Stegostoma tigrinum: one gene and its partner. The protein of the gene in region 1 purifies or fractionates together with the protein of each later gene. This does not show direct contact. Links are inferred from orthologs where the notes say so. Each region holds a gene or a part of one and is shown on either strand. Other genes may lie near its edges. The genes, in order: hdac11 and gcfc2.

Evidence for each region.
Region 2: the proteins of hdac11 (region 1) and gcfc2 purify together in Homo sapiens (co-immunoprecipitation; 3 studies listed by BioGRID and IntAct, counting the BioPlex papers as one, with this or other methods). This does not show direct contact. The link is inferred for Stegostoma tigrinum from reciprocal best matches to the Homo sapiens genes HDAC11 and GCFC2.

Annotation. Positions count from the first base shown.
Region 1 is NC_081364.1:26,227,494-26,237,798, forward strand, and holds the start of hdac11 (histone deacetylase 11), read left to right. Parts: upstream 1-5,329; 5' UTR 5,330-5,642; intron 5,643-10,305. UniProt on the Homo sapiens protein: Responsible for the deacetylation of lysine residues on the N-terminal part of the core histones (H2A, H2B, H3 and H4).
Region 2 is NC_081357.1:74,076,090-74,086,218, reverse strand, and holds the start of gcfc2 (GC-rich sequence DNA-binding factor 2), read left to right. Parts: upstream 1-5,082; 5' UTR 5,083-5,293; coding exon 5,294-5,573; intron 5,574-10,129.

The DNA of each region.
Region 1 (10,305 bases):
TTATAAGCCTGCATAACTCAGGAAATGACTCAATAGTTTACTTTTAAAACTCACCACATCCTGTCATATAATACCAACCTAGTCAAAAAAAGTTTACTCCATTGCTGATTTCCAATGTTTGACTTCTTTCATCCATTATAAAGAGGTCTTTACTTAAAAAAAGAAATGTTCGCACTATTTAATTAATTCAATTCTAAAATTCACTGAAAGAGAAAGTATAATGTAAAGCAAAGAGTTAAGAGACCAGGATAATGAAGGATACATGCAGCTAATGTACAAGCCAAAACTGAAGTGGGTTCCTAGCAACTTAGAAGGTTTATTATAACAGGCCTGAGCTGATAAGTGGTAGTAACATTCCAGTCAGATAAGTAACAGGCAACAACCATCAAGAGAGAATCTCATCATCTCCCCACGTCATTCAATGCCATTACCAGGGCAGAATCCCCCGCTTTCAATGTCTTGGTGTGACCAATGACTAGAACCAAATTTGGACCCATTCTATAAATAATGTTATTAGAATCCTTGATAATAAAATGTGAGGCTGGATGAACACAGCAGGCCAAGCAGCATCTCAGGAGCACAAAAGCTGACGTTTCGGGCCTAGACCCTTCATCAGAGAGGGGGATGGGGGGAGGGAACTGGAATAAATAGGGAGAGAGGAGGAGGCGGACCGAAGATGGAGAGTAAAGAAGATAGGTGGAGAGGGTGTAGGTGGGGAGGTAGGGAGGGGATAGGTCAGTCCAGGGAAAACGGACAGGTCAAGGAGGTGGGATGAGGTTAGTAGGTAGCTGGGGGTGCGGCTTGGGGTGGGAGGAAGGGATGGGTGAGAGGAAGAACCGGTTAGGGAGGCAGAGACAGGTTGGACTGGTTTTGGGATGCAGTGGGTGGGGTGGAAGAGCTGGGCTGGTTGTGTGGTGCAGTGGGGGGAGGGGATGAACTGGGCTGGTTTAGGGATGCAGTAGGGGAAGGGGAGATTTTGAAACTGGTGAAGTCCACATTGATACCATATGGCTGCAGGGTTCCCAGGCGGAATATGAGTTGCTGTTCCTGCAACCTTCGGGTGGCATCAATCCTTATTGACTTTTCATTGTTTTATTCTTTTATTAAGTTTGTATTATTAATTGAAAATGACTGACGTACTTTGGGACAGCTTTTTTATTTACTCTTCCATGGGATGTGGGCATCACTGACTGGGCCAACATTTATTGCCCATCTCTAATTGCCCAGACAGCAAGGTTAAGAAAATAAGAAACCGAGAAAGCTTTGTTTGTTAGACCAGGCCTGCTAGTTGCAGGCTGAGTCTTGATTAAAAGATTCTCACATACAATGTGCAGATTTCAACTGCTAGCTCTGAAAGGAAATTCCAAAGAATAATGACGCTCTGAGAGAAGAACTCACTTGCACGCAACCCCCACCCCACCACGGAAGAATATTGTGTTTAAACAGACAGCAGAAGTTGGTATTAACAAGATCAGTACATGGAACTTGGTTCCAGTAAGTCTGAAGGAGACCCTATGTTCAAGCAGTTGATAGCTGTTGAATGGTGACTGAAACTTCAGGGAGAGTTGATCAATCTGTTAGGTCAGAGCGACAATAAAGTTGATTCTTTACAACTGTGTTTTCTGAGAGATGGTTCTGAAAGGCTGCAAAGTCAGCATGAAGATTTGAAAGCTCTCTGCCTAATCTGATACACCAGCTTCCGGAAATCCAAAGAGCGGAAAGCTGATTTAGACACAGTGCTGCCTTTGCCTGGGTGAACAGAGAAGGAGACCCTGATCAATGTTTCATGGAAAACAGCCATGGAGTCCACATGTATGCTTGTGAACAATACGTCATAAAGGACATTTAAGTTACCTGGCCAGTTTTGTTACAGTCTTTTGTTTATCCCTTGACTGTGCTTATTTGTCTGTCAGTCTTTTGTGTGAATGGGGCTGAATGCTTCAGATTTAAAACACAGACATTAATCTGCTTACCCAGCTGTTTAATTTTCTCTCTGCTAGTGTTAATTTGTATTTAATAAACATGTCAATCTTCTATTTAAGATGCAAAACTGGTGTCTGCAAATGAATTATTCACAAAGTCTGGGATTGGTTATTCAAAAATCTGTTGGGGGACTACTGGAGTGACAATGTGGGGGCTTTGATGGTTTAATTCTACTGTGTTGTGAATGGAAAAGTTGAAACCTTGTTTTGGTTCAGTTGTCCATCTCCATGTCACAAAACTACGGCTACAAGGTCAGGTCAAAGGATGGGAATCCAGCAGTGAGTAACTGACTTCCTGTGGCCCAAAGTCTATCCACTATCTATAAGGGCAGAAGTTTAAAGGAATACTGACAAGTTACCTGGATAACTGCAGCTTCATTCACATTCAAGAAGCTTGACAAATCCAGGAGGATGCAGCCTGCTCGATTGGCACCCCATCTACCGTCTTAAATATTAATTCCGTCTACCACTGCTGCACAGTGCCATTTCCATGATGCACTATAGCAACTCCCCAAAGCTTGGGGACAGCACTTTCCAAACCTGCAAAATTTACCACGCATAAGGGCACAGGCAGTAGAAATATGGGAACACTACCACCTGCAAGTTCCTGTCCAAGTCATACCATTCTTGGAAATACATTATTCTTCCTTGAATGTCTCCAGATCAAAATCCTGGAACTCCCTTCTTGACAGCTGCGTGTGTGTGCACTACAGCATTTGGACTGCTGCAGTTTAAGGAGGCAAAACACCACCATCTTTTCAGGGGTAATTTGGGACTGGCAATAAACATCGATTTAACTAGCCAATCCAACACCCATGAAAGAATTTTGCAAAGACTGTTTTCACAGGAACAAAGAGGGAAACAAAAGAATTCCTTGTTCACATCAACAAGTGTAGAAAATATTTATCTAACTGGTTGCCTTTCAATTAGAAGCAGTATGGTAGAAACCATTGACAGTTATCAATAATTTTTGACTAAGGATTAATTATCATTAAATTATTATGAATTGTTGTACTCAATTCTAGGCATATCTGAGAAGTAACATACATTTTGGGAAGTGACACACTTCCCATAAATAGTCTTTCTGCTGAATCAAAATTTATTCTAAACCTGAAGAATATAATCCACATTCAATGAGAATGAGATAGTAGGAACTGCAGATTCAATGAGAATGGCTGTTGATAGAGTTTCTTAATTTAACAAAGGCTTACACCACTATTCTTAAAAATATAAATGGACGCTTAGAAGATACTTGGATAAGTACATAACAGGAACGGTTTGGAGGGATATGGGCCAGGCAGGTGGGTCTGGTTTAGCTTGGGATTATGTTCAGCGTGGACTGGTTGGACCAAAGGGTCTGTTTCCACGCTACTTGACTCTATGACTCTAAACAATTGAAGAATTAATTCACCATGACATCTGCCAAAGATATTTTGCAATTTACATTGGTCCTTTTCATGATTTTGAGCAAGGTAACTACTTAAGTGGGACACAATGACAAACATCTGACAAAGTGAAGACTGTGGATAACTTGCTCCACTATTTAACCTGTATCCTCTATCAAGGCTTCCAAGAAAATTTTTGTCTGCAAAAGATGCCAGTGTGAGACTCATCCAGATTATTTATCATGGCCTTTACATAATAGAATAGGTCAGATGACTCTCAACAGGCCCAAGGTGAGTGGAAGGGCTAAACTGTCTTGCAGATTTAAGACTGACAAGTGTCTCATTTATTCTAAACTTGATGGTTTGCTCAAAAATATCCGGCCTAAAGTTTCTCTAACTTGTTTAGAAAACTTATTTTCTTCTATTCCTTATGAAGTTCCTTTTGTATTGCAAAAAAATGGACTGAATGTTTGTTACTGACATAAGTAGCTTGAGTTGGGAAATTTCACTACTTGGTAGATCAGCCTTGCTGTAAACTGTCAGAATTATGATCCTGGCTGACAGTAACATGGAACAAGTCAGATCCCCAAGTCAGCTGAATTGATGAGGTTTTATTTTTAGAATCTATTTACTGTTATGGTAAACTGAACATAATGTTGTTGACTGGATATATTCACAAGAGGCTGCCAAGGTATTATTAAAGAAACATCAAAGTCTTTTAAGCAAAAAAAAACACTATATAAGAACTGTTTGTTTGAAATGGTCTTATCACAAATATCAAAAATAAAGATTCAACCCATTTATTGCCACCAACAATCTTACAGATACTTGAACTCAATGAAGGGTCACCCTGTTTCTGCTTTATTTTTCTTTGTTTAGTTGGAATGACTGTATTTGGTCACTTTATAGTAAACCTTTGCATTTATTCAATGCTATCTTCTTTAGATAATTTCTCTTCACAAGATTTCTGAAAAACTAACAGAGCTTACCAAGGAAGGGTCACTGGACCTGAAATGTTAACACTGTTTTCTCCCTCACAGACGCTGCCATACCTGATGAGCTTTTCCAGCAACTTTGTTTTTGAACACTTATTGCTTGAACTCATGCAATTACCAGCCTTGTGGAACATCTTCCTCTCTGACACACTAATGTCTGTTTCTAGAGTTTTTCTTTGATTAACTCTGATGCCTCTTGGGTCTTCTGATCTTTCTGGTTAGGACACTAGTAAACTAACAGCACCTAAAATGGTGGCTTTGGTGTTGAGGTGGTTTTGACCTGGCACCTGGCAACCAGGGATTCCATTGAGCAGTTTTTGTGGGACATTTTCCTTCTTGGGATTGATGACAAGATTGGTCCTTGGGATAGCTTCTGTGAAATTTGTGGCCTGGGACTCCAGTCGCCCACGTGGCCGTCTTGCAGTGGTACTGTCTTTTCTTGAACTCAGGAACTGGGAATTTAACCAAGATGGGTTTTGTCTTTTAAAAGTTTTTTTAAAAATTTTCTTATCTATGCCTTCTGTTATTAGTACAGGTGCCTAAGTGTGGCAATTTAAGTACGGCAATTTAAACACTTACTACTTATTTTAGATACAAGTGATGATAAATTACTGTTCTAAATGACCTTTGCTGCCATAGACCTGTTTCTCTTGGACAGAAACTTGCACACTTTCTAAACTTGTGAATTTCTCTTATTCTAAAATGGAACTTGTTTATCTCTATCTCTCAATATTATAGAACACCTTATTGTTAGGCAACAGACCAATTACTTTTGTCTCTTCTAATCTTTATTTTCTAAAGTACTTTTTAAAAAGCCGCACTTGCGTTCTGATAACTCGAAGATTTCATTGAACGGCATGCCCCCTCCCATACGTGTAAGTCAGCAGGCCGAACTTTGCGAAGGGCCGATCGGATGATATCAGAGAGCAGCCCCCTGCTTCAGCCGCCCCTGGTCCTGCTGACGTTGGGCTCTGCGCACAATCGGCGTGAGACGGTGCGTGATGAGGGAGCGTAGCGGCCGCAGCTTATTTACAGTAGAGCCTTCACCTTCAGCGCTGAACAGCCCGAGTATGACCTTTCAAAGGTAATACTGTGGAAACCAAGTGTTGGGAGCGCACATTCCTCTGCCCCTGCAGAGGGAGACGCGAAGCAGGAAACTGGAGTGAAGCCGCCGCTTCCTGGGGCTCTCTCCCAGCTGGAACCTGAACATTGCCAGGCCCCAAAAGCTCAGTTTCTGCACTTGCGAGGGTCTTGTGATTGACAGCGTGCGCTGTTGACAGGTACGTACTTATCTTCCGCTTCAGGGGCACATGGGTTTTACCTGGAATTGTCATGAGACCATTTGCTACAACGTAAATCGCCAATTATTTTAGACCTTGGGCGAAAAAGTTCAACTTGTGCGCAGATGTTGCGTTTGCAGTTCACTTCTCGATTTATGCTTTATATTGCATGTTTTAGGAAGTCACCTGTAGCATTTGAGAAGGACCCTAATCGGTAATGAGCAATAAACTTTTGGTTTGTACAAATAAGACTATAAGAAAGAAAAAGGATCTGATCTGATTGTGGCCTTATCTTCACGTTCCTCCTGTTTCCCAATACCCTCGACTCCCATTCAATTTCAGGAATATATCTATCTTGAATATATTGGGATTGCTTAGCCTGCACAGCCTCCTCGCTAATTACAAAGATTCATCCTTTGTTCTCAAAGTATGTCCCTTAGTCCTCAACCCCAATGAGTGGGTGTTTTCTGTCAATATCTACTGATTCAAGTCACCACAAAATATTGTGTTTCAAGATCATTGCATCCTCCAGAACATCAAAGTGTATGGACCTAACCTGGTCACCCTTTCCTTAGCTGACAATCTGCCCATGCTAGCAACCAACTTGAATGGAACAAAACTTTGTGAATTATAAAATATGTTTCAATGCCTGCCCCATATTACCTTGTTAACCTGTTTCTCTAGTCTGCCTTTGCCACCTTATTGTCTTTGTATTTGCCCCTACTTAAATCAAAGACCATTTCTGAGCAAATTTCTCAACCTCAAATTAAAGTGAAATGTGATATTTTAATGACATGGTTACTCTTACTGAGAGGATCCCTAACCAAATAATTAATCCTGTTTCATCACACATTACAAGATCTGTCAAAACGGCCAATCCCCTGGTTTGGTTTTGTTGTGACATTTTTTGTTCTAAGCTACTGTTTCAACTGAGAACGTGGCCTCAATCTTTGCTGATTTGATGTATTCAAACATGAAGATTAAAGTCACTCATGATTATTGAGTACCTTTCTCTACACCCCCATTTTCTTTGATTTATATTTGTGCTATTGTGTATCTGTTGTCCGGGGGCTGGTGCACTACTCCCGCTAGACACTCAGTTCCCTTAACAATTTTGAACATTGCCCAAATTTACTGTATATTTTGATGCTGTGAGCCAAGATCATTTAAATTACAGCATGAATCTCATTCATTTTTATTTTAAAAAGAACCAAACTTCCTGTTCCTTTGTTCTGTTCTAAAGCTTCAAGCTCTTCCACAGTATCGTCCTGCTTTGTCACTTTATACTGAAATGCCAGCAATGATTATCAGATCATATTTATCCATCCATCCATTTCTCCTTGTCCCATTAATTCATCCAATTTGTTACAAATGCAGTGTGCAATGAAATTAGGGGGCTTTAATTTCGTCTTTTTTGATATTTTTCATTGCTCTGACTTTTTTTTTCCTGGTGTCCTCATGTTTGTACTCTCTGTTCCTTCATATCACAGACTAGTTGACATTACCATGTCACTACTATATGTTACTGTCTTGATCTTTCTCTTCAAGTTTCCCCTCACACAAACTTGCTTCATCTCCTGCAGTCGATGCCTTGTACTATCTTTTGTTATCAGCTTAATTTAGCTACAGTTTATAAATTCGTTATAGCTCATGAAGTAGAAGACCAGGAAACCATGTTTCTTTTGGAAATGTGATGAACCTAGGGCTGATCACATAGCATTTATATCTCATTTGAGATGTCAGTGGTAGCAGTACTGGGAATTGCGAAACATATAGCGTTGTTGAATTTCTTTAAACAAGTGTGGGAGGAGGTGTAGGTGTGGGGAGCGAGTTTTGTTGAAATAAGTTGACATGAAGGCAATGGTCAGAGAACAAAGAGCATTGTCTATCATTTCTGAACAGATGAGATTACAGAAAATAACATAAAACCTTGCATGTTCTTTAAAACCTTCCTCTTAACAGCCTTTTGGTCATGTGTATGAATGTTTTTTACGGCTCAGAGTCAGATTTTGTTTGATAAGCTACAGTGAAATCTCTGGTCAGTTTATTATTTTAAAGAGGCCTTAAATGCAAGTTGTTGGCATGTCTGAGAATCATAATTGGGGATTTTTAGTGAGGTGAGCAGACGGTGGATATACTATAGAATTAAGGGACAGGAAGCAGAATACACGACTAAGTTCTTGGCCTCAAAATGGTGTAAGCAGATTTATTCCTAACTCTCTCTCTAAATTAATTATATGTAGACTTTGAAGGGAAACAAACAGTTTCATGGTTTTTAGGTAAAAGCAGGGAAGTGAGACAAATTGATTAGCTTGTCCAAAAACATGACAAAGGCAAGATGTGTTAAATTGCTTCTGTGTACAGTACAAGTTTTGAATTTTCTACAGATTTTCAAATAATGGTGATGTAATGGTAAGTAGAAACCAGAGAAACCTATCTTGTGGAATACCTAATACATGATTTTAATTTTCCACATGCACTTGGAGAAGCAAAACTCCTCAATTCATAACCATAAATATTCCTGACAGTGTTCTGTAAGAATTCTTTAGAATTGAATTTGCTGGAATGTAATGAAGCTATTTGATCAAGGAGCAGAAATATTCTATTTAGCCAGGCCTGCTTTACCATTTAAGATGATGATCACTGATCTAATTGTAGCATCAAATCCACATGCTCGCATACCGCTTATAACCTTTCGCTTCTTTGCTTATCAGATATCAATCCACCTCTGCCTTAAAAAGATATTCCAAGACACTCTCTTCCTGAAAAGGTGACGGAAGCAGTGCCAACAACCCATTACATTGAGACTTTTTTTTTGCTTCATCTCTGTTTTAAATGGGTGAGCCATAATTTTTAAACAGTGATCTATACAAAGAACAAAGAAAATTACAGCACAGGAACAGGCCCGTCGGCCGTCCAAGTCTGCGTCAATTGAGATCCTCTGTCTAAACCTGTCATCTATTTTCTATGGTAACAAAGTGTGGGGCTGGATGAACACAGCAGGCCAAGCAGCATCTTAGGAGCACAAAAACTGACGTTTCGGGCCTCGACCCTTCATCAGATCCTTTGCTCCTGGCCCATCCATGTATCTGTTCAGATACATCTTACAAGACACTATCGTGTCTGCGTCTACCCACCTCTGCTGGCAACGACTTCCAGGCATCCACCACCCTCTGTTCTAGTTTCTTCCATGGCAGAAACTTTCTCTCCGCTTTTACGCTGTGAAGACTCCACGGGATCTTGTACATTGAAATCAAGTCACCTCTTACTCTGCCAAAATTCAATGGTTATGAAATTGCTTCCAATTCTTCCATAATATTGCATACCACTATTCTGTAATATTCTTCCATAAATAAGCTGACCAGTACTATACGGTAATGCAGGTGCACTCCCATCAGTGCCCTATGTAACTGAAGTTGGGCCTCTCTATTTTTGTAATCACCTGTCCTTGCAATAATTGCTAACATTCTATGAGCATTCTTAGTTAGTATGCAATTACAACGAGTAACTTGTGGCATTCGTGCAGCGGGACTCCCAGATCCCTTTGCATCTCTGAGCTCTGCAAACTTTCACCAAATGAAAAATATGCTGCTTTTTAATCATTTCTGCTGAAAAGGACAATTTCACATTTTCTCACGTTATACTCCAATTTGCGTAATATTTCTCCAGTAGCTGATTGAAATGTCCTCTTTGCAATTAACCTTTCTACCTATTCTTGTGTGATCAGCAAATTTCTCAACTATGCTTTCCATTGCTTCACCCAAAAAAATCTGATAAATTATAAGCAGTTGACCTCTCAGCAAACAATCCCTGTGACATATCATTGAATCCATCTTGCCAACCAGTAAAAGACCCATTCCTGAATACTATCTACTTGCAATTAAGTAGCAAATTTTTCATCCATGTTAGTGTGCTAATTCACACAGTATGAGCTTCTATTTTCTGCCAGTATGTTTGATGTGGCACATTATCAGATGCATTCTGAAAATATAAATCCAGTAGTTTTGGTTTTTATTCATGTGTGGACATTGCTGGCTAACCAGCATTTATTGACCATTCTGAGTTTCCTTGGAGAAGATGGTGGTGAGCTGCTTTTCTTCTTAAAACAGCTGCAGACCATGTGCTACAGGTCGAGACACCGTGCCCTCGGGGGACAATTCCTGAATTTTGACCTTGCAGCAGCGAAGGAACAATGATATATTTCCAGGTCAGGATGTTGTTAACAGACAAACATTTCCTCTGTTAATGAATAGTTGCTTTGTATTGTCCTGCATCGTGTTTTGACTGGTGTTCAAATTGACTTAATAGAAGTCTCAGACGGAATACATTTGTCACCTGCCTGGACATCTTCAGCGTGGAGAGTTTTACCTGATTCACATTGATTCTGGTATTGCTCGAACTCCTTGATGGCTTGGATGGGGAATTTGAACCTTGTGGTGATTCCATAGATTTACTGCTCGTGTCCATCTAGACGGAAGAGGTCGTAGGTGTGGAAGGTGCTGTCTAAGCATTGTTGTCAAATTTCTGCAGTACCTCTTGTAGATAGTACACCCCACTACTGCTGAGCATCAGTGGTGAAGTGACTGACTGTTTGGCTGTGATGCCAAGCAAGTGGGCTGCCTTGTCCTGGATGGTGTTAAGCTTCTTGAGTGTTGTTGGAGCT
Region 2 (10,129 bases), on another chromosome or scaffold:
CCAATCCCATGACCAAAGAGATACTTCCCTCCCCGCCTCAATCTGCCTTTTGTAGGGGCTGCTCACTCCACGGCTCCCTCATCTGCTCCACACTCCCCACTAACCCCACCAACCCTGGCACCTTTCCCTGCAACCACAGGAAGTGCTACACCTGCCCCACACCTCGCCCTTCACCTCCATTCAAGGCCCAAAGCAAACCTTTCATACCTGACAGGGGTTCACCTGTATATCCTCCAACTTGGTATCCATTGCTCTCGATGTGGCGTCCTCTACATTGGTGAGACCAAGTGTAGACTCAGGGATCGTTTTGTAGAGCATCAGTGCTCTGTACACAACAAACAACACCTTCCGGTCACCAACCATTTTAAGTCTCACTCCGACGCCCTGGGAGACATGTCCAACCTGGGCCTCCTCCTGTGTCCCAAGTCGCAACCCACAAACTGGAAGATCAGCACCTCATATTCTGCCTCTCCAGCCAACAGCCCGATGGCCTAAACATGAAATTCACCAGTTTTAATATCCACCTCTGCCTCATCCTATGACCAAACCTCCCTCTCCTTGACCTGACACAACCTATCTGCCCCCCCCCACCTCACTGACCGATCCCCACCACTCCCTACCGGCATTTACCTATCACCATTCCACCTACCTTCCCCAGTCCCACCCCTCCTCTCTATTTATTTGTGAGCACCCTTGCCCCCTCCCTACTTCTGAAGAAGGGCCCAAAGAACAACACTCCTGCTCCTCCGGTTCCACACTGTCGCCCTAATAAGTCCACTTTAGTGCTATCTGTTTTGGTGTTGATTAACAAGTGCCTTTTGATCTTCTGGTAATCTTGATTAAGCATGAAGCAAAGCGATGGGTTATCGTTGCACACCAATCATCAATTTCCAGATGTATTCACCACCGGAGGGAGCCATTCAAGATTTACCTGCCAGCAGGAGAACCTTGTCTAACGAAGTTAATCGAATTGCGAACAACAGCACTCACTCACAGGTTGTACATGATACGTTGGTCTTTCTGATTTGGATAGTTTCAGTAATCTTGATGTTACGAGTAATTATAGGTAATGCTCCATTGCTGACTCCATCAGCAATGACCTGGACTAGACAGAATCTAGTTGATCTCAAGATGGGCATACTTTATCTGTAAGACTTACTCTAAAAAGTCCCTGGACCTTAGCTTTATACAGGCTTTCTTTAATTTCTCTCCTCCAGTGTCACAACGACTCCACCCAGAAACTGGAGGAACAGGACCTCATATTCTGCCTTGGAACCCTACAACCCAACGGTCTCCTATGGACTTTACTAGCTTCAAAAACTTGCTACCCTTGACCTCATCCCAGGACCAGCCCCTGCTCTCATTTCTGCCTCCTTGACCTGTCTGTCTTCTTTGCCACCTATCCGCTCCACTATCCACCTTCTATCATCGTCTGCCGCTCTTTACGTATTTGGGTCCCCTTCCCCTCCTCCATTTTTGAAGAAGGATCCAAGATGTTGCTTGGCCTTGCTGTGTTCATCCAGCTCCACACTTGGTTATTCCGGACCAGAAAAGTACAGCTACCTAGAATACACCTCCTCCCACCCACCCTCCTGCAAAAATTCCATCCCCTATTCCCAATTCCTTCGCCTCCGCTGCATCTGCTCCCAGGATGAGGCATTCCACTCCCGCACATCCCAGATGTCCATGTTCTTCAAGGACCACAACATCCCCCCCGCGGAGGTCGAGAACGTCCTTAACTGTGTCTCCCGCACTTCCCGCAACACATCCCTCTCACCCCGCCCCCTCAATAACCGCCCTAAGAGAATCCCCCTTGTCCTCACATTACACCCCACCAACCTCCAGATACAACGCATCATCCTTCAACACTTCCGCCACCTACAATTCGATACCACCACTAAAGACATTTTTCCCACCCCACCCTTGTCTGCCTTCCAGCGAGACCACTCTCTCCGTGACTCCCTTGTCAGCTCCACACTCCCCTCCAACCCAACCACACCCGGCACCTTCCCCTGCAACCGCAGGAAGTGCTACACTTGCCCCCACACCTCCTCCCCCACTCCCAACCCAGGCCCCAAGACGACTTTCCATATTAAGCAGATGTTCACCTGCACATCTGCCAATGTAGTATACTGTATCCACTGTACCCAGTGTGGCTTCCTCTACATTGGGGAAACCAAGCGGAGGCTTGAGGACCGCTTTGCAGAACACTTCCACTCGGTTCGCAATAAACAACTGCACCTCCCAGTCACGAACCATTTTAACTCCCCCTCCCATTCCTTAGATGACATGTCCATCTTGGAGTGCCACAATGATGCTACCCGAAGGTTGCAGGAACAGCAACTCATATTCCGCTTGGGAACCCTGCAGCCCGATGGTATCAATGTGGACTTCACAAGCTTCAAAATCTCCCCCTCCCTCACTGCATCCCAAAACCAGCCCAGCTCGTCCCCGCCCCCCAGGGCATAACAAAACCAGCCCAGTTTTTCCCCGCCTCCCTAACCTGTTCTTTTCTCACCTATCTCCTCCTCCGACCTCAAGCTGCACCTCCATTTCCCACCTACCAACCTCAACACGCCTCCTTGACGTGTCTGTCCTCCCCGGACTGACCTATCCCCTCCCCACATATACTCTCCTCTCCACCATCCATCTTCAGTTCGCCTCTCCCTATTTATTTCAGAACCCTCTCCATGAAGGGTCTAAGCTTTTGTGCTCCTGAGATGCTGCTTGGCCTGCTGGGTTCATCCAGCTTCACACTTTGTTATCTTGGATTCTCCAGCATCTGCAGTTCCCATTATCTCTGATCTCAAAGATAATGGGAACTGCAGATGCTGGAGATTCCAAGATAATAAAATGTGAGGCTGGATGAACACAGCAGGCCAAGCAGCATCTCAGGAGCACAAAAGCTGACGTTTCGGGCCTAGACCCTTCATCAGAGAGGGGGATGGGGGGAGGGAACTGGAATAAATAGGGAGAGAGGGGGAGGCGGACCGAAGATGGAGAGTAAAGAAGATAGGTGGAGAGGGTGTAGGTGGGGAGGTAGGGAGGGGATAGGTCAGTCCAGGGAAGACGGACAGGTCAAGGAGGTGGGATGAGGTTAGTAGGTAGCTGGGGGTGCGGCTTGGGGTGGGAGGAAGGGATGGGTGAGAGGAAGAACCGGTTCGGGAGGCAGAGACAGGTTGGACTGGTTTTGGGATGCAGTGGGTGGGGGGGAAGAGCTGGGCTGGTTGTGTGGTGCAGTGGGGGGAGGGGATGAACTGGGCTGGTTGAGGGATGCAGTGGGGGAAGGGGAGATTTTGAAACTGGTGAAGTCCACATTGATACCATATGGCTGCAGGGTTCCCAGGCGGAATATGAGTTGCTGTTCCTGCAACCTTCGGGTGGCATCATTGTGGCAGTGCAGGAGGCCCATGATGGACATGTCATCAAGAGATCCCCTATTCCCAATTCCTCCGCCTCCGCCGCATCTGCTCCCACGATAAGACATTCCACTCCCGCACATCCCAGATGTCCAAGTTCTTTAAGGACCGCAACTTCCCCCCCACGGTGATTGAGAACGCCCTTGACCGCGTCTCCCGCATTTCCCGCGACACATCCCTCACACCCCGCCCCCGCCACAACCGCCCCAAGAGGATCCCCCTCGTTCTCACACACCACCCTACCAACCTCCGGATACAACGCATTATCCTCCGACACTTCCGCCATTTACAATCCGACCCCACCACCCAAGACATTTTTCCATCCCCACCCCTGTCTGCTTTCCGGAGAGACCACTCTCTCCGTGACTCCCTTGTTCGCTCCACACTGCCCTCCAACCCCACCACACCCGGCACCTTCCCCTGCAACCGCAGGAAATGCTACACTTGTCCCCACACCTCCTCCCTCACCCCCATCCCAGGCCCCAAGATGACATTCCACATTAAGCAGAGGTTCACCTGCACATCTGCCAATGTGGTATACTGCATCCACTGTACCCGGTGCGGCTTTCTCTACATTGGGGAAACCAAGCGGAGGCTTGGGGACCGCTTTGCAGAACACCTCCGCTCAGTTCGCAACAAACAACTGCACCTCCCAGTCGCAAACCATTTCCACTCCCCCTCCCATTCTCTTGATGACATGTCCATCATGGGCCTCCTGCACTGCCACAATGATGCCACCCGAAGGTTGCAGGAACAGCAACTCATATTCCGCCTGGGAACCCTGCAGCCATATGGTATCAATGTGGACTTCACCAGTTTCAAAATCTCCCCTTCCCCCACTGCATCCCTCAACCAGCCCAGTTCATCCCCTCCCCCCACTGCACCACACAACCAGCCCAGCTCTTCCCCCCCACCCACTGCATCCCAAAACCAGTCCAACCTGTCTCTGCCTCCCGAACCGGTTCTTCCTCTCACCCATCCCTTCCTCCCACCCCAAGCCGCACCCCCAGCTACCTACTAACCTCATCCCACCTCCTTGACCTGTCCGTCTTCCCTGGACTGACCTATCCCCTCCCTACCTCCCCACCTACACCCTCTCCACCTATCTTCTTTACTCTCCATCTTCGGTCCGCCTCCCCCTCTCTCCCTATTTATTCCAGTTCCCTCCCCCCATCCCCCTCTCTGATGAAGGGTCTAGGCCCGAAACGTCAGCTTTTGTGCTCCTGAGATGCTGCTTGGCCTGCTGTGTTCATCCAGCCTCACATTTTATTATCTCTGATCTCAAGTCAGCTTTCCTGCTCCTCTGATGCTGCCTGGCCGACTGCAGCTCCATAGATATAACACAATGTGGAGCTGGAGGAGCACAGCGGGCCAGGCGGCATCAGAGGAACAGGAAAGTTGACGTTTCGGGTCCGACCCTTCTGATGAAGGGTCTAAGCCCGAAACGTCAGCTTTTGTGCTCCTGAGATGCTGCTTGGCCTCCTGAAAAAGGCCCACTTTTCTACTCCAGCTCCTCGCTATGTTATCTCTGAATCACCCTCCACAGTTCTTAAAAGAACTCCGTCCAGTCTTTTCGATACAAATATCAAGCAAACCCAGAATCTAATAGGGGTTGATGTTTGGTGAGATTTTAAAAACAGGACGTCGTTTATCTTTTGATGGGAAAAAGGATAGTACTGCTCGTGCATTTCTAGCCTTCACTTACGTATTGTGTTGGTATTGAAACTTAAACTGGAATCTTTGCGATAAATGTTTATTCCTTGTCATACTTCACACCCCCCCCTTACAATCAATAAGTGGAAGATTCCCTCTCCTTTCCGGTCCGTTCCGCGAACGTTGCGGGGTGCCGTGTTCTGTCTGTAATTGTCTTTAGAATGTTCGGAAAGAATCCGAAGCGGAATTTCCGCCGCAGGAGGAGTGAGTCCAGCGAGGAGGATGATCAGGAGCAGCTTCAGCCCGGAGCTAGGACCAGGGCTGCAGTCATACTCGCTCCACCAACCTGTGGCTTAGCCAGGGCCCAGTCCGCCAGCCCCAGCTCAGCTTCAGCAGACAGTGGCAACGAGGAAGCTGTAGTCGAATGGGGCGCTCCAAAGCACACCAGTCAAACCCGTAACTGTGACCTCAGTCTGCTGAGCTTCGGCTACGACAGAGAAGGTAATGCTGCATATTAGTCCGCCGTCAGGTATCTTTGGGCAGGCACGCTAAGATCTGTTCCTCTGAGCTTCTTAGTGTCTTGCCTTTCATTGAGGATACTTGTCTTGTTCCTTCTTCCAAAGTGTAATCCCTCCTATTTATCAGGATTAAATTCCATATGCCACTTATCTGCCCTTCTGATCAATCTGTTTATATTCTCCTGCAACCTAACGCCTTTCTCCTCAGTCAACCACACAATCTTTATGTCATCCGTAACTTCTTATCCACCCCACATTCTCATTTTTGTCACTTATGAATATCACATACAATGAGGGACACAGCACATCCCTGTCGTATGCTACTGGGTCCCAATCTCACAAACAGTGTTGCACTACCATACTGTGTCTCCTGTCACTTCAGTAATTCTAGATCCAACTTGCCAAGTTAACTTGAATCCCATGAGTTTTTACGTTTTTTACCAGTTTCCCATATGGTATTATTCTAATGAATTTGAGAATAAACTTTCAGTGCAGTAATTGGCCAACTTGGATTTTTCTGAGATAATAAAATGTGAGGCTGGATGAACACAGCAGGCCAAGCAGCATCTCAGGAGCACAAAAGCTGACGTTTCCGGATTTTTCTGATTTACTTTTGTAGATAGGAAATATCTGGGCAATTTTCTACATTGGGTAGATGTCAAAGTTGTACCTGTGCTGGAACAACTTGACTAGGTATGCGGCAAGTTCAGCAGCCAAATGTTCAGAATTCTATTGCTGTCATATTCTCAAGGCCCAAAACCTTGACTGTATCCAAGGCCTTCAACCATTTCTTGCTGTCGTATGAAGTGAGTTGAATTGGCTGAAGTTTGGTATCTGTAATGCTGGGCACCTCAGAAGGAGGCCAAGATAGATTACCCACTCAGCGTTTCAGGATCAGGTTTTACCCATTTTAATACATACTTTTGAAACTCCTGTAAATTTTTAGGGATTCGTTTGTTGAAGGAATATGCTTAGATAATGAGTATTTATAAATTGTAGAAATTGTATAAAACCAGACACATTCAAATGGAAATCAGTGAAGCTTGACAGTTCACTGCAGTCTTAGATAATGAATTCCACAGATTCATGACTCGTTGTGAGAAGTAATTCTTCTTATCTCTTTTAATTCTGCTACTCCTTAAAACTCATTGTTGTACATTGTCTCACACGAGTAAACTACTTTTGATCTTCTTCATCAGTTACCTTAAGTGTCGTATATACCTCAATTAGATCTCTCATTCTATTGGAGAGGTTGATTAAAAACACACAATATTTGAAAAACCTGGGTCAGGCAGCATCCGAAATAGAAACAATTAACTTTCTTAATACTTCAAGGTGATAATCTGTTGACAGCTTTGTGGAATTGCAATCCAAATACCAGTGCCCTATCTACCTGAATTCTCCAGAACTCAAATTGGCTCATTTTTTCTACTGATCAAAACCTTCTGATACAGAATGGGCAATATACAGAGATCTGAACAGGAAATTTCTGTGCCTGGGCATACACCATCAGGAGTATTCTATAAAGAATACAGCAAGTGATAATGTCAAGACAAGTATGGAGAATGCTTGAGAAACTCCAGTTCAGCAGCGTCTGTGGAGAGAGAAAGAGAGTTAATGTTTCATCTGGTATGAATTCTTCGGCATTCTTCCTTGGCAATTGAAAGGCAGGTAGTTTCCTGTTAAAGTTTCACATGAGGAGAAGCATGAAACGGACTGGAGCCTGGGACAGCTGGGAGATGGTGAGTCAGTGCTAATGGAGACAGAGGTCAAGTTTGCATGTGACAGCACACCGCATTGTGTGTGGATTACAGAATCCCAATGACTCCATTTGACCCATCAAGTCTGCACTGACCCTCTGAAGACCATCCCACCCAGTACCCTCTCCCCAGAGACAGAGGATTCACCTATCTTGCACATCCTGGATAGTACAAGGCATTTTAGTATGGCCAATTCACCTAATCTGCATATTTTCAGACTGTGGCAGGAAACCAGAACAGCAAGAGGAAACCCATGCAGGCATGGGGCAAATGTGCAGATTCCACAGAGCTGGTCACCTAAAACTAGAATTGAACCTGGATCCCTGGCACTGTAAGGTAGCAATGCTAACCTCTGAGCCACCATGCCGAGCCTTCAGGACTGCAGAATGCAGCGAGGGGCATATATTTGAGGAGATAACAAAGTGTGGAGCTAGAGGAACACAGCAGGCCAGGCTGCATCAGAGTAGCAGGAAATTTGATGTTTCGGGTTGGCACCCTTTTTCAGAAATATACCTGAGGAGCGTTGTCTGTCTCGGAAATGCCTGTAATCCTGGTTGGGTTAAAATGAAGAGTGGGAAGAACGATTGGAATTTGTGAGGGGTAACGTGGAACCAGAGGCAGACACTGAGGAAGATAGTGTGGCTGTGAAAGTGCATTTTGGTTAACACTTTATCCCAAACCAGAAGAGAGATAGAAAGCAAAGAATGTGAATAAGCCAAAAGATTAGAACTGAAATCCCAATGGAGACAAAAGCAGAACTTCAAGATAGACATTCCTGGAAGAGAAGCCATGATGTGGAGGTGCTGTGTCGGTCTGGGGTGGACAAGGTTAGAAGTCATGCAACACCAGGTTATAGTCTTAACAGGGTTATTTGAAATTACAAGCTTTCAGAGTGCTGTTCCCTTCTCAGGTGGAATGCTCTGAAAGCTTGTGGTTTCAAATAAACCCATTAGACGATAACCCGGTGCTGTGTGACTTCTGTCTAAGAAGAGAAGCGGCAGTGAATTAAACATTCAAATAAAAGCAAACTACAGCAAATGTTGGAAATCTGAATCAAACAGGGAGAATGTTGGAGAAACTCAGCAGGTTTGGCAGCATCTGTGGAAAGAGAAACAAAGTTAATGTTTAAAGTCTGCCATTATTTCTTCTGAACTGTGACAGCATAGCTCTGGATAAGATACTGAAGATCTAATAGTGCTAAATTCAGAAATAATGCTCCTCTAGCAATAGCAATAGCTCAGTAAATACCTCAAGGTTTTTTGCAGCATGGTGGGTATTCCAGAAGTTGGGAACTGGGCAACTGAATGCATTGCTACCAGTGATGGAACAATCAAAATTGGAGGTGTACAAAAGGCCAGAATTAGAGCAGCACAAATATCTGTTTTATGGGACTGGCGAGTTAGGGAGAGCAAGCTATGCAAGAATTTGAAAAGCAAGATGAGAATTCATAAAGCAAGACTTTCACATTTATAGAGGATGTCCTGTGTGAGATCCGAGAGGCGTAGATTGGAATAATTGAGTCTTGAGGTAACAATGGCCTGAATGAGGATTTCATTAAGGGGATTTGAGAGACTGAGTGAAGTCAGGTGATGTTGTGGAGGTGAAGATAGACAGTCTTTAGTGCTGGTGCGATTTGTGATATTGGAATCTTATTTTGTGGTCAGGTGTGATACTGAGGTTGCAAATGGCCTAGTTAAATTTCAGCCTGTGGTCAAGGTGAGAGATGGTGTCAGTAGCTATGGAACAGAGAGTTTAAAGAAGCTGGGATTGAAATCAAATGTTGAAGAATTATCTGGAAGAAATTTTTAGTCAAGCCTTAGAGGCCAGATAACTTCCCTGGAGACTGTGGGAGTCAAAGAGAGTTTGTGCCAAGTTAGAACTGTGTGTCATCTGTATGTACTTAAAAACTATTGCTGTGTTTACTGATGTTGTTTGGAGAAGCACTTAGATGAGAGAGAGGGCCAAGGATAGATCATTGCGGGTAACAGTGCAGGGTTAGGAAGAAAATCCATTGCAAGTGACACTTTGGCTCTGATTACTCAGATAAGAATGGAAGCAAGTGAGCTAAATCCCAGTCCAGCTAGACAACAGGGAGAAATGTAGTGGAATGAGTTGGTTAGCAGTGATAGAGTGTGGACAAGTCAAGATGAGGAAGGAAAGTTTACATTTGTTGTGACCATTTGGATTGAAACCTGTCTTCGAGTCACTTGGTCAAAAGTATTTAATCAAACTTTGGATTGAATGATTCAGTTTGAACTTCTATAAACATGTGAATTAGGAACAGGAGTAGGCCCCTTGGCCCTTCGAGCCTGCTCAGCCATTTGATAAGGTCATAGTCAGTTTTATCATCAAGTCCACGTTCCTGCCTACTCCTAAATATGTCTCCAAATCGCTGTCATCACCCCAGCAATTACTTAATCAGATTCAGTTCGAGTTTGGGCCACTGTCTAGCTTAATTTGAATTTGGAGATATGAGAGGCTTTGCTTTTGGGTTACAGTAGTGACCATAAATAATTTTAAAATAGTCCTAAGTAATTCTTCTCTTCCATATAAATGGAATTTACATGTGGCATTATTTTGTTTCTAGTGTCATGTGAGAATGTGTTTGCCTAATGAAAGCCAATGAATCAAAAGAATAACTTAGTTGCAGAGTTTTAAGTGGTTGTTCTGTAAATCTCCCTGGTGTGTCAGTGTCCAACATTGACCAGAAATTGAATATGGTCTTACCCATTTGCAATATAATACAACATCAGCAACTTGAACACAAAACAATTTTGAA